Ovis aries: one gene and its partners. The protein of the gene in region 2 interacts with the protein of the main gene of each other region in a pairwise test. Links are inferred from orthologs where the notes say so. Each region holds a gene or a part of one and is shown on either strand. Other genes may lie near its edges.

Region 1 (4,596 bases), on a different chromosome or scaffold from region 2:
TCTGTGTCTGAGGTAGGTGAGTAGGGAATCCCAGGCAGTCCCACAGGTGCTTGGGAACCGTCACAGGGGTGACCTCAGAGCTTCCCAAAGCTGCTTGCTAACAACATCGGAATGAGGCACTGACTGAGACGGCTGACCTTGAAGGGTAAAGTGGGCTGACAGAGGGGCCCTGTCTCCATCTACACTTTCCCACCCACAAGCCCGGCTGCTGGGACACTGCCTAGACACAAGCGTCATCCCCTAGGTCGCGGGATGTCCTGGCAGGAGTGGAACATGTAGGCGGAGGGGGAGGTTGGGGTGGGGGATATTTGTGCTCTCACAGTTCAGGAGTTCTGTTTACTGCTCTCAGATGCCCAGGAGCCTCAGCCTGGAGCTAGCGGCTCTACCTCTTGGGCTGGCACCCTCTGACCCACCAGTTTAGTGCCTGATAGGCCTTGGCCGGGGGTCATCAAGGGGATTGGGTCCCTCTCAGTTTCTCTAGATCCCAACAGTTACTCAAGGGCTGGGACGGGCAAAAGAGGTAAAATAAAGAGACTGGAGATTAAAACCAGAATTCCGCCTGGAGGAGAAGAGGTGGGTGGGCTTAACGCAGTGTCTCTTCAGGGTTCTCCTTCATTTGGGTTGGGAGGGGGTTGGCATCTCTATACCTCCAAGAAAAGGCAAAGATATGGGGCCCCCAGGCAGTATTGGAATTCTTAAATTCTGTTTTCTAACCACGACTGTCCCAGGCACTCTCCTGGAACCCCTACCCCAGGGGAGAGCCCCAGGCTCCTTCCCTCTCCTCCAGGGCTTCAGCTTCCTCCTCCTGGCCTCCCAGCCCTTGGTTCTGCCCCTGGGTCTTGCCCATAGCACCTCCAGGCCTGGTGGGGTGGCCTCTCACATGCTCCCCCAAACAGACAGGGATCCCTCAAACAGACAGTCCAGGGCCCTAGGGACAACGGCCCTGTGAATTTCGGATACCAAAGGAGCAGTTACCGACCTGTGTCCGGGGACACTGGGCAGGATCTGGGGGCTTCTCCTTCCCCGGCAGGGCAGGGAGTGCAGTGGCGAGCCCAGAAGCAGGAGTCTGACTTGGGCCGGGTAATCCGGGGCTCAGGTTACTGACTCGATATATATAGTATCTTATCTGACCTCATGGAGATGGCTAGCTCCACTCGCTGGCATTCTGAGCCCAGGGAGAATTAAAGGGGCAGTGGCAGGCCCTCCCTCTCGAGGTGGGTGCCAGGCAAGGAGATCCTGGGAGACTGTTTGCAGGGAGCATTTTGAAATGGAACAGAAGGGGGATTCAAGGGGAAGCAGAACTGGAAAGAGGGTAGAGGGATGGGGGTGGAATTAGGCAAAAATATGGAGAAGGAGGTGTCAGTCACAGAAGTAGAGAAGAGAAAGAAGCCCCAGTCCACCTCCTTTAGCTCTGAGATGGAGGAGACCTGGAGGCAGACAGCAGCTCCCTCAAGGACACAGAAGCAGGGAGAGGCAGAAGGGACCTCTCTCAGGTTTCCAGTTCAAGCTCTTTTATAATGGACTTCTAGGCTTGGGCTTGTATTCCAAGTCTTTCCTTTTTATTGCCTCAGAGACATTTAAGCGGTCATTTAAGTGGTCCAAACCTTATTTAGTCTTAAAACAGGAGTAATAATAATGATATACCTCATGGAGGTGAGGATTAAATAATGCTTGTTAATTTCCTGGCACATAGTAAGAGTTCAATAAATGATAATCACTACTAGATCAAATACTTCCACTTCTAATTAGTGGTAGCATTTGTCAGGTGAACCTTGCTAGTGAGAAAAGGTTCCTCCAGGCCACCCCGTGGGAGTGCCCTGTTCTCATGTCAGAAAACTGCCATGGTTTTCCGAGCTGATCCGTGTCCCATAGCTGGCAAGGCAAATGAGGCTTACCCTATTCCCAGATGTGCAGTCCACCCATCAGAGGAGGGCCAGGCCCACTTGGGCTCTTTCCTTCTCTACCTAGAAAAATATATAGCAAGTGTAGCTTCCCCCAGGCTACCAGGAGCAAGCCTGGCTGCTCTGGAGTGGTTCCACTCTACCTGGAGGAGTGTTCAGGATCCCGAGCCTACAGAGCCAGGCTGGCTGGGCAGGGTCACAGGAGGAAGGTGCAGGATTCTGAACCTCTCGGACCTTGGTGCTCTTGTCAGCTCCCAGCTGTTCCTCCTGTTTCTCGATGGCTGTCCCTGAGGACTGGGAGTACCCGGGATGGTGCCTCCACCCTGTCTCAGCAGAGACTACTGACTCAGCTCAGGTCCTGATGATGCACTTCAGAGGACGCCCTCGTCCCCAGCCCTCATTCCAGTCCTCATTCCGACTCCAGTCTGGCATCATCTACAGCATCAAAGGAATGGTGGCTGCTCCAACCCCAGCCCAACCAGCTCTCCTTTCCTCCACTGTACATGTCGGACTCTGGGGACCTATTCCTGCCTGTGCCTGGGGAGATGAGCATGGGCAGGATCTCCAGCTCAGTTCCATTCTAAGAGCGGCCAGGTCAGGAGGTAGATGCTCCTCCTTAGAGGACAGCCAGAATGGGCTTCCTTAGGCTGTTGAGTATAAGTTACTTGCCTTGGAGCATCGCGTGCCTGATTCTGGTTTGGGATTGGTGAGAATTTCAAAGATGCCTCTTTCTTGTTTGGGATTGGTGGAAAATCTACCCCTTTTCCACTTAACTACTACCCTCCCCCCCACCCCTACCCCTCTTTGGCAAACTGATCAGAGACAAGCCCCCAGGAGCTTTGAGAGGAGGGAGTAAGAAGGCTGCCACGCACACGTGGGGAGGGGTTTGCCAGGGCCCAGGCGTCACTCTCCGCCACATCCCACACAGGGCTCGGAGATGCGGTCCTGCCCAAGCAGCGTTTCCTGAGAACACACTGATCAGCACACAGATGGCTCTCCCTGGCACCCTGAGCTGTCGGCTCACACACACAACTGGCACCCACAGCTGGAGATCCTCAGCGCAGCTGGCACTTGCCCTACATTTCTAGTGCCCATTTTGCCCAGGCGGTCGTTGACACCTCACTCTCAGAGCCTCACACGGCACTGCCCTCCGTATCCCCTCTTCCCCAGTCTCCGACAGGTGGCACGTACCTGCCTATTCTCTGAGGATGGATGAGTCGAGCCGGGCACAAGCATGGAGCTACCGATGAGTCCCGGCTGGTACTGGAGCGGCGCAGTAAACAGCCGCTGACGCAGAGGGCTCCCTGGCCTCGGCTCTTGCCCGCCTCTACCCCACCTCCGCCGGGGGCCCAGAGAGGACCTCCCCGGGAAATCGGCGCCACCCAGCGGGCTGCCGCCTCATTGCGCCCGGGGCCGGCAAAGCCACACCTCGCGTCTAGCGTCACTGAGACGCGTCACGGCGATTGGCTTGTTCCTATTATGACGTCATCAGAGCCCCGCCCGACCAGGATCTCCCAGGCGACCGACATATACAGAGAACCACGTGGAGAAAAGGCACGCGAGCTTGGAAGGGGTGGTTGGAGTACCTGAAGTGGGCCTGAATATGACACGACGGGACAGCTGGAAGGTATTGGGAAAGAGGAAGGGTCACGGGGAGAAGGCTCAGCGTTGAACCCCAGGGCGTACATATCAGCTTTCAGATTTTAGGGAAGGCTAAATGTTCCAGCTCCTTCCCACCCGACTGGGAGAGGGCCAGTTCTTCTGGCTCTTCCCTTCTCTACTCTTTAAGACACTCTCTGCTTATTTTACTAACATGAGACGAGTGACTGGTGGTGTTTTCTGAAGTGGGTAAAACGGTGGCACTGGGTCAGTAGAAGAGATTCTCTTTTTGTCTTTCAAGAAAAAGCCAAAGGAAACTTGATTTTTTGGGTCACTTCCATTCTTTGTATATAACTTTCCCCCCTTTCCTCTACTGTGAAGAAAACCACACGGCCAGGTAGATTGGTGCCAAGGCAAGTCCAAGGTTTTCAGTTTCACCTGGACCGTCAGTCCTTCCAAGTGTCCTTAGCTGCTTCTCTTGTTCTCTGCAGCTGGCATTTGTCCATTACCACTCTCCCAAGTCCCTCCTTGTCTTCTATTTCCCTGAGGAACTGGAGGCAATCAGGAGGGAAATCCTTAAAGTTCTGCCTACAAACATAGCTGAATTCATTCTTACCTCTGCTCCAGGAGCGGTGAGAGCTGTGTCCCTCTTGTGCAAGACAAATACCTTCCAGATCGCAGCTCTTGTGTTTCCTATTGTTACCCTCAAACCGGGTTCCCCTTTTGGTGGGTGTCAAGCCAAAAGACAACCAAGTCAAAAGATCTGGAGAAGGAAGAATTTATTACTTGCAGCAAGGGAGGAGAGTAGATGGGATCTTTCCCCAAGCAGTGTCTCCCTGAATAGCAAAATTGGGGAAGTTTTAAGCTAAGGGTACATGCATATTCATGAGGGATTGAGCAGTGTATGCATATTCATGAAGGGGCTTAAACGGAATTCCACATAGAATTGGATCAAAGGTTAACAGCCTTCAGTTTGGTTCAGTCCCTCAGTCACTGACTCTGCAACCCCATGGACTGCAGCACACCAGACTTCCCTGTCATTCACCAACTCCTGGAGCTTGCTCAAACTCATGTCCATTGAGTCGGGGATGCCATC
Region 2 (4,079 bases):
CAGTATCAGCCCATGGGATGTGGACAGAACCAGGGGGTGGGGAGGCATCCGTGGGTTTAGAATTAGCTGGGGGAGGTGTGGACGGGCCAGGGCTAGCCCCGAGGAATGGATGAGGCAAGCGGCGTCGGCTCTGGAAGGGGCATAATCTGGGTGTCTCCTCTCCAACCCAGGCCTGTTCTGGGATCCCAGGCGTGGATCCACTGTCAGATTGCGCCGCTGGAACAAGTCCCAGCAATTTCTGAGAACTTCCTCCCGCCTCCCCCACCTTTCGTCTTGTCACGCCCCTGCACCCTGTGCTACCCTCCTCACCCTTCGGACAGCATCTTTTTGAGCCGCTCGCGTTCAGCGGGGCCCGGGGCATCCGCGCTCTGGCTGCGGAATAGCTTCTCATCGCCGGGGCCATTGGCGCTGACGAGGGGGCTCGGAGGCACCTAAGGGCATGGATAGAAGTGAAGTCACAGTAGGGCGTGGCTTCAGTTAAGGGCCAGTTAGGTCATGGTTGGGGTCAGGGCTGATGTCAGGGGTCATGACTGAGAGGGCGCAGGAGGTCCTTCCCAGCACTGGGATCCAATCGTCCCTCTCCCCTCCTCCCCCACCATCCACGGCCCCCACATGGCCCCTGGGCTGTAGTTTGGCGCCCTGTCCCGCCTCCTTGCCTGCTGGGCTCTCACCAACCCACCAGCAACAAATCTAATGCAGGCTAGCCTAAACCCAGGGAGACAGATACTCATAATCTGCAAATCGGGGAGCAATCTGAAGCCTCGGTGCTATTCCCTCACCGCAATGACCTTTCCTGGGGCCAAATTTCAACAGCTATTTAAAATTCCTATGAGAAACCTACTCTATTAGGCTAAATTCATTATGAATCCACCTGATGCCTGGACCACAGTCCTGAGGGCGGGGACCAGCCTACTTCTTTTATCTTCTTAAGCCCTGTGCCCAGTCCTGGGCCTGGCACACGGTAGGTGGTCAATCAATGATGTTGAATAGGTTAGTGGGGGGAAACGCTCAGGGACAGTTTTTTACCCCACCCCGCTACTTAGGGCTTCCCAGGTGGCTCAGTGGTAAAGAACCCGCCTGCCAATGCAGGAGACATAAGAGACGCAGGTTCAATATCCCTGGGCTGGGAAGATCCCCTGGAGGAGGGCATGGCAAACCACTCTGGTATTCTTGCCTGAAGAATCCCATGAACAGAGAAGCGGGAGGACTACAGTTCATAGGGTCACAAAGAGTTGGACACGACTGAAGCGACAGTATGCAAGCACGCACCACTACTTGGCCACTTCACCTTTCACATTTCCACGCTGCCACGTGAGCTGGCTTTCTGGCCTTCCTTTCAGGCAGGCCTATGACATGCCCCCACGGCACCCACGGCACCCACGACCCTTTTCCACGGTCACGGCTCTAGTTTTACATCATCAGTGAGTGTCTGGTCCTGAGCACCGGCATAGCGTTTAGACCCTTCCCCTCCAGGGCAGTTGAGTTCTGGGACAAGGAGTGCTGACCTGGTGGGCAGTGAGCCCCAGCGCGGGACTGGTGAGTTCTCCCCCATCCTGGGATTTCTCCCGTGCCAGCCTTGCTGCCTCCTTCACTTCCTGGAACTTCTCAGCAAACTGAGGGATGAGGAATAGGAACAGACAGTCAACAAACTCCCAGCCCCCTCCACCAGGGCCCCACCACATGACTCCCACCCAGCACTAGCTTTGTCACTTTGCAAGAGAGGGAAGAAGGCTTGGAAAATGATGCCCAAGGAGCAGAGTGGGTATCCGGCTAGAGGGCAGGGGTGGGGTGTTCACGGAGGCCACCTTGAGAAAGAGATCCCCTTTTCCCCTCAATCAGCTTATCTCAGTAAGGAGAGCCTCAGGTGGGTGCTAATCTGTCTTTCGTGCCTGGGACGCTTGTGAATATCCTTTGTGACAAAGAGAAAGCAGGTCTTGGACTTGGAGCCTCTGACAGGCACCTGCAGCCAGTGGGAAAGTAATCCCCCTGTTCTCATTTTTGTCATAGTTTACATTAATCTCCCATACCTGTTTTCCAGCTAGAGTAGGATATACTTTTTTTTTTTCCATTTTATTTATTTATTTTTGGCTGCACCAAGTGGACTGTGGGATCTCAGTTCCCTGACCAGGCACTGAACCTGGACCATGGCAGTGAAAGCCTGGAATCCTAACCACGAGGCCACCAGGGAGCCCTTTTAAAAAAGTTTTTGTTTATGTATTTATTTGGGGTTGTACTGGGTCTTCATCGCTGCTTAGACTTTTCTCTGGTTGCAGCGAGCAAGGGCTCCTCTCTGGTGGCGGTGCACAGGCTTCCCATTGCAGCTTCTCCTGTTGCAGGGCACAGGCTCCGGGGCACGTGGGCTCAGCAGGTGCAGCTCCCGGGCTCTAGAGCACGGGACCCATAGTTGTGGCGCACGGGCTTCCTTGCTCTGCAGCGTCTAACATCTTCCCAGTCCAGGGATGGAACCCGTTTCTCCTGCGCTGGCAGGTAGAGTCTTCACCACTGAGCCACCAAGGAAGCCCCCCACCTTTTTAAATTTTAAAATAAATTTCCTTAGCTTGAAAGTAATTTTTAAAATATTTATAGCTATACACCCCCTTTGGGTTGTGCAAAGCGGCCAGTGCAATTCACTGGGGGTATTGGGGGTAGGTAGTGTTTTCAAAAACCGTTCCAGGATTTCTCTGGTGGCCCAGTGGTTAATACGCCACACCTCCAGTGCAGGGGGTGCAATCCTCAGGTGGGGAACAAAGATCCCATATGCCACATGGTGTGGCAAAAAAAAAAAAAAAGTCCCAAGAGCAACTGAATACTCATATGTGAAAAAAATACTCCTACTTTATACCGCCTGCAGAAATTAATTCAAGATCTAAAATTTGAAAGGGAAACTAATGCTTCTAGAAGAAAAGAGAAGAAAAGCATCGCAGAGAGCATGAACCATACAGGGAAACAATTCATAAGACAATGCCGAATTCTAGAAACAGCAGAGGGTGGAAGGAGGTGGTGATGAAGGTACTGCCAGGGGTGTGGGGAAGCACTCAGCCCATTAAAGGCACCCAGAGAGGAGCAGGGTGTGTTCAAAATCAAAACAGGTGGCCAGCTGAGCTGGGATGTGGACCAGGGGAGTGGGAAGGGGCTATAGGCTGGTCCAACTCTGTATGCCCATCCTGTAGCTGGGAAGATGGAGGCCCAGCATCTGTCCAGGGTCCCGCAGTGCACACAAGAGAAGACCCAACCCCAGCCCTGCTCCTCCCACCATGTACCCCCGCAGGCCCACCTGAGTCAGATGCTGTTCAGAAGCAAAGCCAAGACCATAGACAGTGTTGGCGCGACTGTCTGCCCACTGTCCAAACTTCTGGGAGGTTTTGGTAAAGGTCATGTTGGGAGTGACAGTGCTGTTGATGATGGCCTGGGGGAAGGTGAAGTCGGGGAGAAAAGTTCACGGGTGATGGAACTGGTAATAATAATCAATAGGAAACCCCCAGAGAAAATCGCCTTCTATTAGCCCTCCTGTGCTAAGTCGCTTTAGTCCTGTCCGACTCTTTGCAACTTTATGGACTGTAGCCCAGCAGGCTCCTCTGTCCATGGGATTCTCCAGGCAGGAGAATGGGAGTTGGTTGCCATGCCCTCCTCCAGGGGATCTTCCTGACCCAGGGATCAAACGTATGTCTCTTAGTCTCCTGCATCGGCAGGTGGATTCTTTACCACTAGCACCACTTGGCTTGAGCCATTTCAGGAGGAAGATGGAGACTCAGAAAAATTCAGAGTATCCCCTGGCCCCCAAGACACACAGCAAGGCAGCAAATGGACCCAGTCCTGTCCTGGGATCCTTGGCCCCTGCCACCCCGCCCGGGCCCCACCAGGACCTTGGCACCCCCGAGGCTGATGATTCGGTAGACATTGCGGGCGGCGTCGTAAAAGTAGGAGACAGTGAGTGCGTGTTTGCCCGCAGGGATCCAGTTCCGCTTGGTGGCCGGGTCGATCTGGAACACGTGTGCCCGTGTGCTGAAGATGGGCTGCTCCCTGTGTGGGGAGAGGGTGCTCAGTGGGGGCCAAATACACCTACCCCCAGGACTCAGGGT
Region 3 (3,609 bases), on a different chromosome or scaffold from region 2:
GCCCTAGAGTGTAATTCCAATGATGTGACAGCAATGAAATAGATTCTGCAATATAGACTTATTACAGAATATAATTGTACTTTCTTAGTTTACTCTATTCACTGTTATCTGTTTTATATTTCAGGTTTGACATATCTGCATTTTTACTATAATATTTAATAGTTTACATTTTTTAGATTTCTGTTGTTATTACTCCAGATACTGTTAGTTGCTCAGTCGTTTCTCTTTGTGACCCCATAGACTGTAGCCCACCAGGCTCCTCTGACCATATATTCTCCAGGCAAGAATACTGGAGTGGGTTGCCATTCCCTTCTCCAGGGGATCTTCCCTACCCAGGGATCAAATCCAGGTCTCTGGCATTGTAGTTAGATTCTTTATTGTCTGAGCCACCAGGGAAGCTCCATTACTTCAGATAGGGCTCCCCAAATTTTGTTCCAAATTTTAGAAGTTTATTTTAATGATTATCCTGATTTCTTAAATAAAAAGACTGAGGCTCAAACAGGTTAAATATTATACATGATATCACATGGTAAGTCACAGAGGTAATATAGAATAGAAATCTTATTCTAGGGTTCAGAAGACTTCCAATAGCTTATGTAAATGGACTGTTTATTAACATATCTTCTTGGAACAAATATACTTCAGAAGCATAGACCTATCTTCAGAAAAATGTGTTTACACATCACCTATATGCTCTAAGTGCAAAAATAAAGTCAAGATAGAGCTTTACCATTTGACTTTTCAAAACATAGATCCTAACATCTTCCTGTGTTTTTTCATGAACAGGGTGTTATTGTTGGTTTTTTCCCCAAAGGTATGAAATGAAAACTGTCTTTTTTTAAAATAAAAATTAGAACAGAAGAACTCACGGCTGAACAGCAAGATCCTGGATTTAATCTCAACATCTGATTTTCCACAGTATATGGAGGAACAGTATATGACTGTGACTCTTTTTATTTCTTCAGATTTTTCCTCTCCTAAGATCTCTCGTATTTGTTATTATTTGACGCTCTGCTTGTAGCTCTGAATCATTTTCATTCTTTTTCCTCCTCTAACTCTGCTTCAAAACTTCTGTAACTTATTTGCTGTGAAGTCTAAAATCTCTTCTGCAAGTGAGCGTACTGGGTGCACCAGACAGCCATGGACCCCAAAGACTGCTAAGGATGCCATATGTTGCTAAGAAGTCTTGCTAATTTGCTCTATCAGCTGAATGGGGTGTCAGAGAATTTTCTTTTCCTTTATGAACTCAGAGTGTTTATGCTGTGACCTGTATCAGCAATTCTGCTTGGATCGATCACTTTCAGCTTACCATTTTTCATCCCTCCGTGAACGTTGCACCTAATTTTCCCTGTAATCGGTTCAACAACTGTCAGCTGTTCATGTTTCAACTCTTTCTGCCAATAACTGCTGGAAGTGATTTAATGCAGCTGGAGAATAAACTGACAATCATTATAGCCTGCAAAGTGTGAAAAAAATTTCATTGCACTATTGTGATCTGAGGACCGATGACGCCCAGCGGATGAGACTTGGAGTGGGGGTGGACGGGTAGGGGAGAAGCCTGCTTTATAATAATTAAAGAACTTGTGGAAGAGGGTGATTCCTGGGGCAAGTTAACTGTTTATCCGGTGAACCCTCTTCCAGGGCTTGTTTTATAAGAATTCACTGTAAGTGCCCAAGGGAAATACCTTCATCTGAATGGGGTTTCGGTGCTGCCTGCGCTCAGATGGTTTCCTCAGCTGATAAAAGTCCTCGCTAAGGAACCGCACAGATGTGGCTCCTTTGGGGAAGATGAAGGCAGAGGAGACAAACACGGGGGCGGAGCGGAGGGGCAGCAGCCAGTGATGCCTGCAGGCCGACGGGATCCCCTCTTCCAGGCCGGCTCACCTGCGCTGCAGAAGAGATGCCCTCGCCCCTCCCGCGGCGCCCTCACCTGCCCGGCGACCTCTCGCCGTCGTCGGGGGACTCGCGGCCCTGCAGCAGCCCCTGCGAGCTCTTGGGGGGCATCTTGCCGCGGGCCCCGCGCCTCCGGCGTCGGCTAGCCTGGTGCTCCATCGACTGGGAGCAGGTGCGTCTACTACGGAGGCTGGGCGCGGGGGGCTTCGGCTCAGTGTACGAGGCCACCTACCACGGTGTGCGAGTAGCCGTCAAGCAGGTGAGCGGGTGCTCCAAGAACTCGCGGGCGTCAAGGCGCAGCTTCTGGGCCGAGCTCAACGCGGCCCGGCTGCGCCATGTTAACATCGTGCGCGTGCTGGCGGCCAGCACGCGCCCGCCACCGGGTTTCGACAGCCTGGGGACCGTCATCATGGAGTTCGGGGGCAACATCACCTTGCACCAGGTCATCTACGGCCCCACCGGCTGCCCCGGGGACTCTGGCGCGCAGCTGGGCTTGGAGAGGTGTCTAAAGTACTCCCTAGACGTGGTCAGCGGCCTGCTGTTCCTCCACGGGCAAAGCATTGTGCACTTGGACCTCAAACCGGCCAACATCCTCATCAGTGAGCAGGATGTCTGCAAGATCGGGGACTTCGGCTGCTCCGTGAGGCTGGAAGACCTGCGGAGCCCGTGGACGCCTCACCACCTGGGCGGCACCTACACTCACCGAGCCCCGGAGCTCCTCAAAGGAGAGCCTGTTACACCCAAGGCCGACATCTACTCCTTCGCCATCACCCTTTGGCAGATGAGCACGCGGGAGGCGCCCTTCTCGGGGGAGCGGCAGCACGTGCTCTATGCCGTGGTGGCCTACCACCTCCGGCCCGCTCTCCGGGCACCCGTCTTCACCGACTCGGTCCCCAGGAAGACGTTGGCGGGCATCGTCCAGCGTTGCTGGGCGGCCCTTGCTCCCGAGAGGCCGAGCGCAGAACTTCTCTTGGGGGACCTCCACGCTTTGAAAGAGGAGCTGGGAGGACTCGAGACTGGATCCAAATAAGCGTCTTTGTTTCTGATCGTTTTTAACGAAGTGAAGATTTAGCGGGGGAAAAAATCATATAGGTAGGATGGATTTTTAGAAAATAAAGTCCCTTAAAAACTCCCTTTATCTCGAATGCTTTTTCTAAGACAAACCGCAGAGCGGTCGTGGTGCTCTTTGTCGTTATTTAGTCGCTAAGTCTTGTCCGACTCTTTTGCTACCTCATGGACTACAGCCGGCCAGGCTCCTCTGTCCATGGGCTTCTCCAGGCAAGAATAGGAGAGCAAGTTGCCATGCCCTCCTTCAGGCAGTAACAGGTATTCCTGAATAAACTGTAAAAAAAAAAAAAAAAAAAAAATAGTTGTCTGCAACCCCAACAAAGAGGACAGCAGCTCATTACTCTTGTTGTTTTCATTAAAATGGCTATTGTTTGTATTTGTTGTTGTTGTTGAGTCCCTAACTAGTGTCTGACTCTTTGCTGACCCCATGGACTGTAGGCCACCAGGCTCCCCTATCCATGGGATTTCCCAGGCAAGAATACTGGAGTGGGTAGTCATTTCCTCCTCCAGGGGATCTTCCTGATCTTCTGGACCCAGGGATGGAATCAGGGTCTCCTGCATTGGCAGCTAGATTCTTTACCACTGAGCCACCAGAGAAGCCCCCTGGTGGTTTCAGGACCTACCTTATCTCCTTACAGGGTTACTGGG
Region 4 (4,771 bases), on a different chromosome or scaffold from region 2:
CAGCCCAGGACAGATAGGAGCAAAAATCAAAAAGTGAAAAGAAAAGGAAAAGACCACACCACAGTGTCCCCTTCCCTCCTTTATCTGGTTATCTCACAACCTCACCCTATTGTCTAAACTGAGAATAGGGAGAAGGAGTTAGCACCCCTGTAGCCCCCTCCCCAGAAACCACAGGCACACAAATAAAGCCAACTGCCAATTTCCACTTCCTTAAAATTCTCCAACCTGCAGCCCCGACTCTAGAGAGCAGCCCTTCCAGGAGATGTGGCTCCCCCGCTCAGGTCTCCTCTCCTCTCCTCTCCTCTCTTCTCCTTGGAGCCTCTGATAAATTGACTCCAGGAGCCTGAGCTTCTTAGCAATAAATAAGCTCCAAATATAGAAGAGGGGGGAAAATATGATGAGCCTCTCTGACATTTGTCTTTAAAATAAAACTAGCTGCACGTCAAGTTTGAGCTTAATTTCTGGAAATAGGCGGAAGTCGCTCCGGATCATGCATGGAAGGCTAATTGAAAAGATCAGTCGGGGCGCTTGTGGCAGCCTTGTCACTTTGTGACAGTGCTCCGCTCCGGGAAATTGCATCGTCACGACAAACGGGACCGTGATAAAACGACCCTTTCCGTCCCTATTTGTAGATCACTCAGACGAGATTGAACTGCACTCGTTTCCCCTTCGAGGGGAGCCGCGTTTTCAGGGTAGCTGAAGGCTTGGGGCAGAGTAGGGGGGGGGCTGACTGAGGGGGCGTGCTGAAGCCTCAACTCGATGAGAAGTGACAGGCGTTTGGGGTATCTAGGCTCCGCCGGGCTGGGCTCGAGCAGGGACATCGCGGGGACACCGCTTCTCCAACAGAGCGAGGCCTAGACCCCGCTTCTGGTTTCTCCTAAATTCCCTTTATTGCCTTCCTTTGCCTCTAAAGAACTTCTACTGCTCCAGCTTACAGGAGCCTCCCCTTTGGGCAAAGGACGCCTTCCCGGGAAAAAGAAAGGCACCCCCAGAGAAAGATGGAGAAAGACTCTCCAAACTTCACGCGCAGCCGAGGCAATTCCCAATCTGGGAATGCCAACGCGTATGAAGCCGCCTAATCCTAGACCTCCCTCTTTCCCCCTCCCCCCAACAGGCAAAAAAAAAACAACCTGCCCGCCACCTCCACGGCGACCGCCGGCGGGTGCTCGCCCAGGGCCAGGTCGCCTCTGCCAGCATCGAAATGGCAGCGAGGAAGCGCCGCTCTAAGTTCCCCTTCAGAGGTTAAGCCTCAATCATTGTGTCCCTTCCCTAGGGACGGCTGGCGCTCTCGCCCAGTGGCGATGATTATGCGCCTAGAATTCGACCGCGAAGCATCTAATAGGAAAACATATGGTGTCAATTTGGATGCTCTGCGCCTCGCGCACACCCGGGAGCGAGCGGCACAAAGCCCTGCAGGCCGGCCCGCGACCCCGCGCCCCTCGGGGCCCGCCAGCCAGGCCGCAGCGGCAAATGCTCAGCGCCGCGCGCCCAGGACCGGCCTGCCCGAGAGCCTGCGGCTGGGGCCCCTGTGCTGGAGAGGGGAGGACCCAGCAGCCAGGAAGAGTGGCCAGAAGACCGAGTCTCGCCAAGGAGGGTTCCTACCGGGCCAAGTCCCCGGGGCCTGGCACGTTCTGCACAACTAATCCGCCTTTCCAGCTCTGCGCCCGCTTTGCGCCCTCTCCTGCGCTTCACGCCCACCAGCCGCTGAAGGGCCAGGGGACAGCTAGCGGCTGCAGAACAGAGGGATCAGGGGCTAGGGACCCCTCTCAGTCTGCAGTTCGGCAAGGGAAGGTTTCTAGAAGATTTAGGCTTTCAGGCACTCCATACAGCGGAGCCCTTAAACCGCCTCGGGGCACTGCACCTCTACCGGGGCCTAGTTTCACTGGGCCTCCAGGCTCTCAGGCCCTGTCTCAGATTCGTCCTGCCACAAAGCAGCTCCCACGTACTGAGCAGAAAGAAGGGATGGGAGCCCAAGGGGTCTAGGCAAAGGGAGGACGGGAGATGCAAGAGCCAGGGAATCAAAGGCACACTGGGCCCGGAATGACTAGGACCCACCCAGTAGCCACTAGGGCAGGGCTGCTCCAACTCTTGGGCTCGATCCCCACTCTCCTCCCAGACCCAGTAAACCTGCTCTCGCCGGTCTGCGCCCTGTAACAGTCCCACGGTTCCAGTACCAACTCCACCCCACCGCAGGCCTGGGTGCCCCACTCCCCTGGCCTTCCAGGCCCCTCGCCAGGGTGGCGATGGGAGGAGCTGCTCTTAGGGTGACTGGGGGAGAGGAGCCCCCCACCCGCCCCAGACGGTGGAGACCTTCAGTCTTGACTAAGCCCAAGGGGCCTCCTTCTCGCGCTACGACGGCGAGAGGACTCCGCCCCGCCCCGCTCAGTCCAGCCCCCCTCTCTGGGGTCAGAGCCCGGGCAGGGGCGGGGAGGGGGTGTGAGTTACAGGATTTGGGGGGATGGGGTTTCTCTTCCGCAGCTTCACAAACTCTTGCGGGCTGTTCTCAAGGGCCCAGCCCCTGTTCTTCCAGGAGGAAGCAAGAGAGCAGACGCCCTCCCCTCGTGGAGCAGCTGCCTCGGGTCCCCGGGCCTCTTCCCTCGCGCCCGCGGCCTGGCCAGTGCGGACACCGAGAGCCTCCAAGCCCTCCCCCGACCTGCGCGCTGGTCTGCGCCTCCCCCGCCCGAAGTCCAAAAAGACCAGAGGCAGAGGCACTTACTGTTCTGCATGCTGGCGCTGGCTGGGGGCCGCGGTATCCCACGGGGCTCGAATATGGGGCTCTGTTAGCAAGAATATAGGCATTAATTTTGGGCCGGCACCAGGTAGGCCTACCTCCCTACATAGGGTGTCCTGGAAGCAGGACAGGAGAAAGCCTCTTCTTTAAGGAAATAATCCACTCCATCAGTTTGGGGCTATTGGATCAATCAGTTTGGGCAGATCAGCTCTGCACTCCAGTACGTGCAAAATCTATCTTTTGCATTACAAATACTCCAGTATTCCCGGTCTGTTTCCCCCATATCTCTTAGTAGTTAACCCTTTAGTCAGAAGAATCCATGACTTGATTTTGAATTTTTTCTTCCAACTGAACAACAATGAAGAAGCAGCATTCTGACTCTTTCAGGTTGGGGAACCCAAAGCAGCCAGCATGGAACTTGCCTGAAATCTGGGATGTCTGTCCACTCTCACAATAAAAGGTCTCACACATCTGCGCGCCCCTAGTTAAAGTCTTCCCCCTAAGACAAAACAGAAGGAGAGAAAGGTATATCAAACTATGACTCAAAAGCATAGATCATGGACTCTCTGATCCACACTCTCAGAAAGAGAAGAAAAGAAAGCCATCTTGGGCTCAAACTGCCATAAAACTCTAAATCCCAGAGCTACACCCACATTTCCAGCAGCCTGTCCTGCAAAGGTCTCCACGTTTTGATAGTGGCTGCTCTGACCCGGCTTTGGGCGATTTGCAGAGCCTGACAATTTAGGGCCCCGTTTTGCAAAAATACCAAGAACCAGGGAAAGAAAAGGGGAGAACAAGAGAAACAGCAGGGTTGGGAGAAGAAGCCAAGAGCTGGGGGAAGAGGGGCTTACACCTGAAGTTTAGAGGTGAAGCACAGGGGACCCTGAAACTTCAGAGAGCTTGAGGGTGCAAGCTGGGGCTGCTTGGGAGGATGTCAGAACCATTACTCCTTTCAAGAATTTCACTACCCCAGTTGCCCTAACCCCCCTCCCCAACCCAAGTCTTTGGTTACCTCTTTATCCTTCACTCTCCCCCTCAAAACTTCCCAGTCGGCTTGATCGCCATTCACTTCCCATTCTTTCTGGGACTTTGAAAGTGGCAAGCCCAACTTTTTCCCCCCCAAACCTCACTTATTGTGATTAACTTCTCTTTTGGTGTTTAGATCTTCCCCCCTTTTACTGTACTGTGACACACGCTGTCTACCTCGCCTCACTGCTTTAAAAAGTACAAACAGGAGGGGGTGAGCGTGGTCGACAAAGCATACAGAGAGCGAACAATGGCTTCTATTCTCCAGCTCTCCCCAAACCCAAAGAGCAAAACTGAATCTCCCTAACTAGCAACAGAGCTTCCAACCAAAGGTACCAACAACTCACCAACCCATAAAGGGAACAGAGGGACACTTCTCGCTTTATAAGTCCTGACCCAGTGCTAGTCCCCCAAGGTGAACACCCCCTCCACCAGCACCCCTCCCTGTCTTCTCTTAAGAAGAAGGTTCTGGGTGGGGGAGAAAATAGAAAAATAATTTCTTGTTATAAATATCTGGAGGTAATTGTGTTACTGGTGTGAGTTGTTAGGGGCTGTAAAAAGATACAACGGCACCGTGGGGAGCTCAATTGGGAAGAGAGAGTTACAATAAAGAACCCATTCAAAGGTTTGCCAAAAAAAAAAAAGTAAAATAATTAAATAGTCACTTTCCCCGCTTTAAAAAATTAAAATATTCATTCTTTTTTCTGTTTTGCCTATTATGATTATTAATTTTGCCTGCCTGCAAGTAAAGAATTCTAAGAAGCAAATTTTTTTTTCTTCAAGGCTATTCATGGTCTAATTTAGTAACTAGCTGGGAGGCAGTTTAAATCCATAAAAATAAACTTAGAGGACTTTCCTCTAGCTTCCCAAGGCAGTTTCCCAAAGCCTCTCTCCTGTCTCTCCATCCGGAGACCAAGTCAAGTCCAGGAGAGGCAGAAAAAAACAACTTTTCGCAGAATGCCCAACTCCCCCCATACACCAAGTTGGATTCTGAAACTGCAAACAGTAGCTGGT
Region 5 (4,079 bases), on a different chromosome or scaffold from region 2:
CCAAAATTGAAAAAGACACATGTTGTTCACTGCAGCACTATTCACAATAGCTAGAACATGGAAGCAACCTAGATGTCCACTGACAGGTGAATGGATAAAGAAGTTGTGATAGATACACACACACACACACACACACACACACACACACACACACACACACACACAATGGAATATTACTCAGCCATAAAAAAGAACAAATCTGAGTCCGTTCTGATGAGGTGGATGAACCTAGAATCTATTATACAGAGTGAAGTGATTCAGAGAAAGATAAATATTTTATTCTAATGCATATATACAGAATCTAGAAAAATGGTACTGAAGAATTTATTTTCAGGGCAGCAATGGAGAAACAGACCTATGGACATGGGGAGAAGGGAGAAGAGGGTGAGATGTATGCAAAGAGTAACATGGCAACTTACATTACCGTATGTAAAATAGATAGCCAAAGGGAATTTGCTGTATGGCTCAAGAAACTCAAACAGGGGCTCTGTATCAATCTAGAGGGGGTGGGATGGGGCAGGAGATGGGAGGGAGGTTCAAAAGGGAGGGTATATGTGTATACCTATGGCTGATTCATGTTGAGGTTTGACAGAAAACAACAATATTCTGTAAAGCAATTATCCTTCAATAGAAAAATAAATTTTAAAAAAGTCAATGAATGCAATACACCACAACAGAATGCTGGAGGGTGGGGTGGCGGTGGATGCATGATTACCTTGACGCGTAAAAAGCATGTGTTAAAATCTAAGACCCTTGCATAAGCAAATCATTTGAAAACCTGCCCTAATGACGACCCTGTATGCAAGACAGGAAAAAAGACACAGATGTGTATAACGGACTTTTGGACTCAGAGGGAGAGGGGAGGGTGGGATGATTTGGGAGAATGGCATTCTAACATGTATACTATCATGTAAGAACTGAATTGCTAGTCTATGTCTGACGCAGGGTGCAGCATGCTTGGGGCTGGTGCATGGGGATAACCCAGAGAGATGTTGTGGGGAGGGAGGTGGGAGGGGGGGTTCATGTTTGGGAACGCATGTAAGAATTAAAGATTTTAAAATTAAAAAAAAAAAAAAAACTAAAAAAAAAAAAACAAAAAAAAAAAACAGAAAAAAAAGAAAAAAGAAAACCTGCCCTATCATCACGATACATCTTTTCTTCCTCACAACTAAACTGATTTATTTATTTATGGACTACTTATTGCAGAAATGTCTATGTGGCTAAAAATAAGAATCACAGAAAATAAAAGCTGTAAACAGAATTTACAAGTAGTAACTACTACAGTGGCTCTCAGCTCTGGCTGGGACAACACTTCAGACCAATTGAATAAAAAATCTTCAAGGTAAGGAATACATAGTTATATTTTTAAAAAGTTTGACCGGTGACTGAAACTGCCCTGGTAGCCAGAGAAAGTGAAAACTAGTATATATGGCAGAAATAATATACACTTCATGGGCTTAATCTTTCTAAGAAAAGTAGAGCTTTTTTCCACATAGGATACTGTGTTTATTCACTATATAAAGACTAGAAGGGCAAAAAAGAAAAATTACTTACACTCCATAAACTCTGACATATGTCTCTCCAAGTAAGTACGAGCTGATTGAGATCGGGCTCCAATGGACATAGCTCTGCAGTCAAAATAGTTAGCAGATGGACAAGTTTGGAAAATGTGAGGACCCATATCCTACAAATAGAAGAAAAATACACTGCATAATTCTTGACTCTAATTGAGCTAAAAATTAGAAAATTTGTTAGTTTCAAAAAAAATCATTAAAATATAACAATACTCTATGAACTTACATCATAACCAGCAATGAGCAGCCCAACACCATATGGTCTCCGGCCATATCGCTGTGTTGGTATCTGGGTTTCTTAAACTAGTTAAAGAGTTTGTTCTAACAAGAAGTAAAGTACTGTCTTTAATTTCAAATTAAATATTATCAACAAAGAGTTCTGGTTTTTTTAAGTGCTGCATAATTCACTACCCCAAGAAGAAGAAAATAAATATTTCTTTGGCTTAGTGTTAAAAGATGTTTGACTATCCACCAAACCCCAAGTGAGTGCTAGCAAGATGATCTTTTCTGGTGTAGAGAATTTCATTCATTTTGGATCTAAGGGATCTAAGGATTTAGGGGGAGCATCTATAACCACGAATAAACAAACATTAAATCTCTTCTAAAATTGATGCTCAGTTTTTCTGAAATTGGGCTTATCTATATCTGGAACATATTAATTGCTTATCTATAAAGGCTGATAAAAAGAACAAACCAACTCAGTTAGAATCTATTCTTCCATAGTAAAACTCCCTACAATTCTCCTTCTAAAGACTTAAAGCATTCTTTTACTGAAAAGTGACTCAACTTAAAGTTTGCACAATCTTACCTATGTTATATATTATCATATTCCTAATAAGTAATATAACGATTAAGTATCAAGACCCTTTAAAGTCTACATCCATAAATGCTACAATAAATGCATAAATGAAAAGGATACTGCTTCCAATTAGAGATACAAGACGAGACACAGGAAGAGGTCTGTCAAATACAAATCTGGAATCCAAACACTCCTGGCGCATAAAATTACTGAAAAAGAAACAAGAAAAACTGGTAATTTCAAATCAGAGTAATTCTAATCAAACAAAGTTATTTGGTTTCTTTTTGCTTTCTTCCAGATGTTTACACGTACATCCACACAATGGAACCATAAACATATAATGACAAGGATAAATTTTTCTATCAAATCTCTATATTTTAAGTGTTCTATTATTGAAAGTGACTAACCTTAAAATTTTCACCATTTTACCTAAGTTTATGACTACACGTTTCTTAGCTCTAGATAACCTTTGCCTCAGAGCACTTTACATAACAGAGAAGAAAAGGCTGCACGATAGGAAAAGAGCAATCTCTTCTCTTACCCTTCCCACTGTCAGCAAGACTGTCTTAATTCCATGTCTTGAGCTAGCAAAAAGAATAACTTTGCTTTTTTCCTTGAAAGCTGACAAAAATTTCCCCAACAGAACAAACAGAAGAAACTGAATCCATACTAGGGCGCTGTTAACATGTTTCTGTCAATGTTACTTCTCTCCATAGCAGTACTCTAGAGGAGACACTACACTGTTAAGTCTCAAACCCAACAAGATGCAAGCAAATACAACACTGGGGAAAAGAAAATTCACACCTATTAAAGCCAAGAGGATAACCTTTTCTTTCATATTGCTCTGTCTAGTTTATGTGTGTGTCACATCCGATGATCAGATGTTGGCTGCTGTAACCAAGCTAGTTGTTCACTACTTTCACTTAAGTTCCTTTCCAAAGGCTGTCTAACACTGCATTGCTCAATATGGCAGGCACTAGTAACATGTGACTAGTGAGCACTGAAAAAGTGGTTAGTCTGAATTAAGATGTATCTTCAGTAAAAAATATACATAAAATGTCAAAGATTTGCGCAATAATGTAAAATATCCAATAAAGCTTTTAAACGATTACAAGTGACAATATTTTTGAAAGATTGGGTTAAGTAAAATGTTTGACAATGCAACATATATTTTCAACAGCTAACAGAAAACACTAATGTAATCACTATATTGCTGACCTAAGAGAACAGGGAACTCACCAAATAACTTGAAAATTTTAAACATCAGCATTATTAACTGTCTTCGGTGTTTATATTCCTCCTTTCCTAATTAAATCACAGACGAGATTATTTGTGGCTAACTACCTCCTACTTACCAACACATACACTGAAAGATGCTGTATGAAGTGTTCTACATGTTAGGCTATTTGTCAATAACCTTGGAAAAAAAATACTAAAAAAATTCAGAGTTTGAGTAACTAGAGCAACATCAGATTGAGTGTTAAAAGTGGGAATTAAAGACTGTGTGATCCCAAAGCCCCAGCTCTTCATCTGCAATATGCCTCTCAACTGGAAATAATCTTTATCCCCCACCCCCTCCAAAGAAATATACCTGTTGCTCTCCACTTTCTACCTTGTATTGCAGATATTCTACTAGATTTTAAGCTCCTAGAAGATGAGATCTGTCTGATTCACCTTTGTATACTCTTTGTATCCAGTATTGAGCT
Region 6 (3,182 bases), on a different chromosome or scaffold from region 2:
AGTAACTTGGACAATAAAGTCCGATACATTTTTGCTTGCTTTCTGAGGCTTAATTATTTTGACCAAAATCGTTAAATTTAGGACTGCTACCCAAAAGTGGAGCCAGTCTTATCTGTACAATGGCATCACTTCCACCAGCATCACAGTTCTGTGTCAGGATGAGATATTTGTTCATGACACAGTGCTTTGAGGGTGCCGGCTTGAGAGCACATCACCAGCCCAAGCCAAGTGAAAGTGAAAGTTGCTCAGTTGTGTCTGACTCTTTGCGACCCCATGGACTACACAGTCTGTGGAATTCTTTAGGCCAGAATACTGGAGTGGGTAGCCTTTCCCTTCTCCAGAGGATCTTCCCAACCCAGGGATCAAACCCAGGTCTCTCACACCGCAGGCAGATTCTTTACCAGCTGAGCCACAAGGGAAGCCCAAGAATACTGGAGTGGGTAGCCTATCTCTTCTCCAGGGGATCTTCCTGACCCAAGAATTGAACTGGGGTCTCCTGCATTGCAGGTGGATTCTTTACCAACTGAGCTATCAGGGAAGTTTATACAAACCATTACAATCAACAGCCTATGGAACATCCCTCAGGACATTCTGAAGCGGTCTCCTTCACAGCAGCGACCTCACCTCAAGCTTCAAAGACTGCCCTGCTTCATCATTACTGTGATGTGTGTGTCTCAGGGCAGCAGCTGGGTCTGGCATGTAGCCAGCTTGTGCTTGTGAAATGGACTTCCTATGGGGACCTCACAATGGATCTCACTCCCTGGCAAAGGATAATTTCAAGGGGTTCCAAGAACAAAACACCCCAGGGCATTCACCTTCTAGCAGGAATGTAAAACCACTAATGCTGAGAACAAAGGCGGGAACCCAGATTATGAACTCCAGAGAGACTCTGCTGTGTCTCACCCTCCCTCTCTGAAAGGCTACTAGGAGAAGGAAGAAGGGCTATCGGTCATAATGTAGGCACAGATGAAGGTAAGGGACTAAATAGAGTTTATTTCAATAGCCCAGCTTCAGAGAGCAAGAGTCAGACACACATCCCACCAGGTATTCAGGGTCCTCCAGGCTCGATGCAGTCGCAGACACCAGTTCCGCGTCACCATCTGGTTCAGGCTTCTTCCTCTGAAACATACAAAGGTTGTATCAAATTGGTGAATTGCTTATGATTTCCAACACTTTCACTCAGATGTGAAACCATTCAGATCCTCAGAGGACTAACAGGTATTTCCTTTAGTCACCAACTGGTGAAGCAGGTGAGAGAACGATTTAAGGCCTAACATGAACCTGGAGCATCATTCCTTCTTGGGGCCACTGGCTAGTATCAGGGACTTCTAGCACATTCCTCTAGACGTTTCTTTCCTGCCCTAACTCTCCTCGCCAACCCCGTCAAGTGCTCGAAAGGCTCTGGAAGTGGCTCCTGGAACTAGACTGAATGCCATACCAAGTGAAGCCTCAGGGAATTCCTGGAGTTTTCCACTGAGGTTAGAGGACTGGTTGGTTAGAGGCCCCAACCAGCCCACAGGTCACGCCAGAATCCTGAGGGAGGCTTGCCACACACCTTCTTCTTCCTCTTCCTCCTCCTCCTCCTCCTCGTCGTCCTCATCGGAGCTGAAGGTGCCGTCGGGCAGGCTGTAGACACGGATGACCTGCTTGTTGGGGTCCTTGAGGATGAGGTACTTGCCCTCCTCCAGCTTCATGCAGATGTCGATGACGCAGCGCAGGATGCCCCAGGCATTCTCCACGCTCAGGTTGATCTGACTGGCGAACTCGTTGGGCTTGAACTGCTGGGTACCCAGGATGACGTGGCGTGAGGAGTCTTTCACGTGGTACCGGGACACATAACTGCCGGGGGGAGGAGTGTTAGGGTGGGGCCCGCCGGCACAGACCATGTGGCACTGGGACACATAACTGGGGGGAGGTGGGTGGCAGTGTTACGGTGGGGCCTGGCTGGCACAGATCGTGTGGCACTGGGACACGTTAACTACTGGGGGGAGGAGTGTTAGGGTGGGGCCTGCCGGAACAAAGACATAGCTGTGCCTGGGGTTGAGTTACTAGTTAAATGGTGGCCTCGTGCTTGTCCCAAGAAAAGGGAGAAAAAGGCAGCCTTGGTCTCCTAACGCGAAGACCCCTCCTTTCCGAAGATGAGCTCATGGCTCCTGGGCAGGAATCTCACCCAAGCTTGAGGTACTCGGATCCGGCCAGCAAAGCACAGCAGGTCCAGCGGGCCAACTTGTAGCTGTTGTTTTTCAGCTCGGTGGCAATGACAGCCCCTCGCTGAGAATCAAGCTTCTGTCGCCAGTCAACGCCGTTACAGTGCTGTGGGAGGAGGGCCCTGGTTATAGGCGCCAAGGCACCATGCTGCCTGTGGACTGATGGCCCCTCTGGTAGAGAAGAAGGTCCCTAGTGGGCTTAACCAGGGAGGGGAAAGCCCACAGGTAGAGCAGAAGACATCATTTAAGGGGTAGGGCCTCCGTCCCTCCTTTGCACAGCCTGCCACATAGCTGGTGCTCAACAAACTTAACTCCTCTCTTCACAAGGTCTTAATCAGACCAGGACATATATTCACACGTTAGAAACAAGTGCCATACAAGTGTTTATCACATGTGGTTTGGAGAGGAAGAGTTTCACAGGGGAGTGTGACAGCTCACCCGTGGGGAATACTGGCAGAAGCTGGAGCTGGGAGGGCTGAGAGGGACAAGGAAGAGATGGACTGCTTTAGTGCGGAAGCCCGCAGAGGGAGGGGAGGTCAGGTAGGTTTGACCTGATGGAGAGGGAGTTAGGGAGGTCAGTTAAGAGACAAATGCAAAATATCAGGCGTCATGAGAAGGCTCCTGAACTAGGGTGATGTCAGTGAAACCTAGGGCTGGGCAAGTAGACAGACTGAGCCTGACAGCAGAATTCAAGGGTGCAGCGGAGGAGGAGGAGACGTTTGAGGCTCTGAGCCTAAGCGAGCAGGAGAAATGACACCAGTGGACAGTCAAGCCAGAGGGAATGACAAAGGAAGACACTGAAAGGACAAAGTATTTTAGAAAAAAACCACCACCAAAAAATTCCAAAACAAAAACAACAATGATGGAACAGGAGTCAGAAGAGATTTCAGGAATCATTTCTGGAGTTCAAGGATGAGGCTTGGGGTTAGGCTTAATTCTAAGATGGTCCCTGGTGGCCCTGCTCTTGCTGCATCT
Region 7 (4,079 bases), on a different chromosome or scaffold from region 2:
TAAGTTTCTATATGGGAAGGCTTACCTAGCCCCTTTGTTAAAGAAATGTGCAAGAGAGGATGGGAAAAATATAATGGAAAAATTATGGCTGAAATAAGAAACTGCAAAGGAAAAAAGAAGCTGTTAAAGTTTAATTGAAAGAGCTGACACCAGGAAGTGGTCTTAATCTGGAAACAAGTAGGCAATTATACAGTTTTTTCCCTAGTAGGTCGTTCCACTTCAATAATATAGGACAGAACCACCCTACTACATAATTAATGTTCGACTGCTTTGGTTCAGCAAAGGGCAGAACTAAAGAGGAACCAAAGTTATGGAAAAATTCAAATCACTACTGCAGAGTCTCTTGCAACCCAAATTCATTCTTCAAAAAATGCTTAGCCTGGAAACTCCTACCAGTTTAAACATGCACCAATTATTTATTGAGTACCTGCTATACTATAAACCAACCATTATTCTAGATGCTAGAGGCAGAGGAGTAAACAAAATAGAAACAATCCAGTTCTCTTGTAGTTTATGTTCTTACGGAGATGAACAAAAACCCGGTAAACATAAATATTTTCAGATCATTATAAGTACTAAAAATAAACTAAAATAGGCTGATGACATGAAGAGTTCTAGAGAGGCCAGGATAGGTGGACATGGCTGGGGATGGCTCCTCTGGGATGTGATATTTGAGCTAAGGCCAGCCATGGAAAGGAGGAAGAGAGGTGCTTCAGTTGGAGTGTCAGCAGGTACAGAGACCCTGAGGTGGAAGTAAGCTTAAGTTAAAAAACCAAGGCTCATATGCCAGGGACACAGTGAGCACAGAGGAGAACACTGTCAAATGCAGCCTGAGTGGTCAGCAGAAGCCGGGTGATTAAGAGCCTTGTAGGCCAAAAGGAGTTCAGATTTCACCCAAAAGTCCAATGAGAAACATTTGGCTGGATTTATACAATGGAGTAATGTGAACTCTAGAGAGAATTTTTTGTTTTGACTTTAGCACTAGAAATTAGCTATATTTTCCTTGGCTGTGTGGTATGTTTCTATGTCACCAACTTGTGATAAGTTTTATCTTCAAAGTTTGGATGAAAGTGAAAGTCGCTCGGTTGTGTCAGACTCTTTGCAACCCATGGACTATACAGTCCAGGGAATTCTCCAGGCCAGAATACAGGAGTGGGTAGCCTTTCCCTTCTCCGAGCGATATTCCCAACCCAGGGATTGAATCCAGGTCTCCCACATTGCAGGTGGATTCTTTACCAGCTGGGCAACAAGGGAAGCCCAAGAATACCAGAGAGAGTGGGTAGCCTATCCTTTCTCCAGCGGATCTTCCCGACCCAGAAATTGAACCAGGGTCTCCTGCACTGCAGGTGGATTCTTTACCCACTGAGCTACCAGGGAAGCCCTAAAGGTACAGTTATTATCCATAGCTACATCTACATGTAGGACCCAATATGCAAATTGTATGCTGTGAAAGTATATACTTCTGGTACACCATTTTGTGCATTAACTTCAATTCCATCTTCATTTAATTATTTTACTTCCAGTTGTCTCTGGCCTAAATTTCCTCACTTACTATTAGAGTACTGAACGTATGCATATGTCTGCTGCCTCAAAACCTTTCAGTAGGTTTTAAATATACAAATTCTAAATGCAGGCCTAGCAAGATAAAATCTCTTATATTAGTGAGTCTCCCTCTAGATTTTGACAATCCAAAACTAACATAGTCAGCTAACTCTGAGGATTCAGTGCCTTTATCTTCATGTGAATGTGAGAATTTCCCAGTGACATTTTAAAAGACCATGGAATTAAAAATAAAATTCTTCTAGCACAGTAAACATTAAAAAATAAAATTTCATGGAAAACTTTCTTGAGTTTCTGTCACAATCAGGGAAGAGCCTCACGCACTCTATAAGGTTTTTAATTTAGGCATGACCAGGTTCAGTTTTCTTTCTGCCATTCTGTTCACAGACATTCCTATAGGACCCATTTCCATGGCTTCCTGCAGAGAATACTAGAATCGCTGGCCCTGAAATGGCAAATGTCTGCCAGGCAAAATGCCCTTCTAGATTTTTGTGAGATATGTAATTATATTCTCTAAGACATGCTCCACTGTGTGTTTGAAAAGAGACTCACAAGTATTTACTCCACTAGACAGCTAGGTCAGACTACCTCACAAAGAAAGCTGAATCTGCCATGTCACCAGACAGAGTTTCCATGATTTTTCTCTCATTTGCTCCTTCCTTTTCTTTCCAATCTAGCTCACCCTTTAGAAAAGTACAAAAAAGTACAAGTTTCCCCAAGGACACTGGGCAAATATTTAACAGCTAGATGGAGCTGTCTGATCCTGATTTAAAAAGAAAAAACGATGCTAAATAGAGTCCCTCTTATAAAACGGTGTTAGCGTTTCAAGCAATCTAAAATGTTTTAAAGGGCATAGTGCCTTAGAGGGGATGCCAAATCTCAAACCGCCAGATTGTGCCTTAGTCTTCGGTTACTAAGGGAAGAAAATGCTCTTTACCATTCTCCCTGTTGGCTGTGGATCTCAGCTTCGGCATTCCAGCCTGGAACAGTCCTCCCAAACCGGGTGGTCCACCTCCTCCAAAACTTCCACCACCTCCTCCGCCGCCACCTCCGCCATAGCCGCCGCCACCTCCGCCATAGCCGCCGCCACCACCACCACCAGCAGCTCCTTTAGGTTCTGTAGAAGGAAGAAGACACATTCTTTTCACATGTATGAAGACACTGCCGGAGAACTCCACCAGTCCTGGCCCAGGTAAACAATAATGATACAGCAGGAAGCTGGCTGACCCTAAGCCCATGGTGGACAACTGCGATTTCATTAGAGGGTAGGATTTTAAGGACTCACCCTATCTCTAGTCAGAAAAGCAGAAGAGGGTTCTTTCTACTCCAGGGCTATCTCAAGCCCTGTGGTGGAAGAATTGGTAATAGATAATGTCTTTCCTCCACATGGCTCACTGCCATATGAATTAATAATATCTATTTGCTCTGTATCAGAAAATTTGGCAAATAAAAGTATCTTAAAAGAAAGAATGTGTTAAGGGAGGAGAAGATGCAATAAAAGGTGAGAAGAAAGGAACAGGTAAAAATAGAATAAAGTAAAATATCCCATAATTCTGCTTCATGGAAATACCTGCTGTTTTTGTATATTTTTTCCCCTGCCAGTTTTTTCACTGGATATACTTTTTTTCTTAAAATTAAGACCAAATTCACTACATAGTTTTTAGTCTGCTTTTTTCACTCAATATTGTTAGCATTTCCCATGTTATTAAATATTCTCTGAAAGCATGAGTTTAAAGGATTGCATTGTGTTTTAGAACATGAATGTGCTGTAATTTATTTAACCATTTACTTATTTGATGGCCTTTCAGGTTGATTTCAATTTTTTAATATCATAAAAAGCAACAGTAGACTTTAACATTTTAAAAATTCTTTGCAACTTGAGACAATGTAAAGATTGTTTTAGTTTGCATTTGTTGCCAAAAAAAAAAATTGTGAAAGATTCTGAAATGGGCAGACCAACAAAAAGGGAAAAGAAGAAGAAAGAAAAGGATTACCAAGTATCCAGTTAGCCTTCTGGGTCATTTCCCATTGCCTTTGAGGTAGTCTATAACTCTGTAAGTTGTAGAAAACTGAAAATAATGCGTATTTGTCCACAGAAATGCATATTAGCTGTGTTCAGTGTAATTCAACTGATTATTGACCTATTTTACACCTATTTGCAAATTCATTTCAACACTCACCTGCCTGCATACGTGTGGTACTTATAATTCTCCTTTGAATTGATAATATCATATTGGTTCCCTCATTAAATTAATGAGCTATATAAAATATTTGATATGTTTATTTTATATCCATATTAGAGCCATGATTTTACCCTCTTTAAAAAACTATCTCTTACCAATTTATGTATGTATGTTTTATGAGGCTAAGTACTGTTTAAAGTTCTACCCCTGGAAAACTTTGTTGAGTCTTTGATAAATATTACATGATATCTACAAAATAATCTGAGAGAACTGACACTTTTATGATATTTAGACTTTATGGAAACACACTATGTTTTCCCATGTGTTCTGATTCAT

What was found.
Region 1: the proteins of HOMER3 (region 2) and USP2 interact in binary tests that used the Homo sapiens proteins (3 or more experiments, as listed by UniProt). The two-hybrid records come from large-scale screens. The link is inferred for Ovis aries from reciprocal best matches to the Homo sapiens genes HOMER3 and USP2.
Region 3: the proteins of HOMER3 (region 2) and MOS interact in binary tests that used the Homo sapiens proteins (3 or more experiments, as listed by UniProt). The two-hybrid records come from large-scale screens. The link is inferred for Ovis aries from reciprocal best matches to the Homo sapiens genes HOMER3 and MOS.
Region 4: the proteins of HOMER3 (region 2) and PAX6 interact in binary tests that used the Homo sapiens proteins (3 or more experiments, as listed by UniProt). The link is inferred for Ovis aries from reciprocal best matches to the Homo sapiens genes HOMER3 and PAX6.
Region 5: the proteins of HOMER3 (region 2) and PSMA1 interact in binary tests that used the Homo sapiens proteins (3 or more experiments, as listed by UniProt). The two-hybrid records come from large-scale screens. The link is inferred for Ovis aries from reciprocal best matches to the Homo sapiens genes HOMER3 and PSMA1.
Region 6: the proteins of HOMER3 (region 2) and EIF3D interact in binary tests that used the Homo sapiens proteins (3 or more experiments, as listed by UniProt). The two-hybrid records come from large-scale screens. The link is inferred for Ovis aries from reciprocal best matches to the Homo sapiens genes HOMER3 and EIF3D.
Region 7: the proteins of HOMER3 (region 2) and WIPF1 interact in binary tests that used the Homo sapiens proteins (3 or more experiments, as listed by UniProt). The two-hybrid records come from large-scale screens. The link is inferred for Ovis aries from reciprocal best matches to the Homo sapiens genes HOMER3 and WIPF1.

The regions. Positions count from the first base shown.
Region 1 is NC_056068.1:29,668,494-29,673,089, forward strand, and holds the start of USP2 (ubiquitin carboxyl-terminal hydrolase 2), read right to left. Parts: upstream 3,231-4,596; 5' UTR 3,093-3,230; intron 2,198-3,092; exon of another isoform or gene 2,045-2,197; intron 1,960-2,044; exon of another isoform or gene 1,896-1,959; intron 1,069-1,895; exon of another isoform or gene 1-1,068. UniProt on the Homo sapiens protein: Hydrolase that deubiquitinates polyubiquitinated target proteins such as MDM2, MDM4 and CCND1. Isoform 1 and isoform 4 possess both ubiquitin-specific peptidase and isopeptidase activities.
Region 2 is NC_056058.1:4,095,393-4,099,471, reverse strand, and holds part of HOMER3 (homer protein homolog 3), read right to left. Parts: intron 4,021-4,079; coding exon 3,864-4,020; intron 3,407-3,863; coding exon 3,275-3,406; intron 1,614-3,274; coding exon 1,506-1,613; intron 432-1,505; coding exon 310-431; intron 1-309. UniProt on the Homo sapiens protein: Postsynaptic density scaffolding protein. Binds and cross-links cytoplasmic regions of GRM1, GRM5, ITPR1, DNM3, RYR1, RYR2, SHANK1 and SHANK3.
Region 3 is NC_056062.1:36,287,734-36,291,342, reverse strand, and holds MOS (proto-oncogene serine/threonine-protein kinase mos), read left to right. Parts: upstream 1-1,833; 5' UTR 1,834-1,900; coding exon 1,901-2,923; 3' UTR 2,924-3,025; downstream 3,026-3,609.
Region 4 is NC_056068.1:61,391,665-61,396,435, forward strand, and holds the start of PAX6 (paired box protein Pax-6), read right to left. Parts: upstream 3,211-4,771; 5' UTR 3,154-3,210; intron 2,778-3,153; 5' UTR 2,727-2,777; coding exon 2,717-2,726; intron 1-2,716. UniProt on the Homo sapiens protein: Transcription factor with important functions in the development of the eye, nose, central nervous system and pancreas. Required for the differentiation of pancreatic islet alpha cells.
Region 5 is NC_056068.1:37,966,181-37,970,259, reverse strand, and holds part of PSMA1 (proteasome subunit alpha type-1), read right to left. Parts: intron 2,583-4,079; coding exon 2,494-2,582; intron 1,872-2,493; coding exon 1,801-1,871; intron 1,685-1,800; coding exon 1,555-1,684; intron 1-1,554. UniProt on the Homo sapiens protein: Component of the 20S core proteasome complex involved in the proteolytic degradation of most intracellular proteins. This complex plays numerous essential roles within the cell by associating with different regulatory particles.
Region 6 is NC_056056.1:180,569,455-180,572,636, forward strand, and holds the end of EIF3D (eukaryotic translation initiation factor 3 subunit D), read right to left. Parts: intron 2,314-3,182; coding exon 2,171-2,313; intron 1,906-2,170; coding exon 1,556-1,905; coding exon of another isoform or gene 1,521-1,555; exon of another isoform or gene 1,120-1,520; coding exon 1,106-1,119; 3' UTR 974-1,105; downstream 1-973. UniProt on the Homo sapiens protein: mRNA cap-binding component of the eukaryotic translation initiation factor 3 (eIF-3) complex, a complex required for several steps in the initiation of protein synthesis of a specialized repertoire of mRNAs.
Region 7 is NC_056055.1:135,480,340-135,484,418, reverse strand, and holds part of WIPF1 (WAS/WASL-interacting protein family member 1), read right to left. Parts: intron 2,678-4,079; coding exon 2,498-2,677; intron 1-2,497. UniProt on the Homo sapiens protein: Plays a role in the reorganization of the actin cytoskeleton. Contributes with NCK1 and GRB2 in the recruitment and activation of WASL.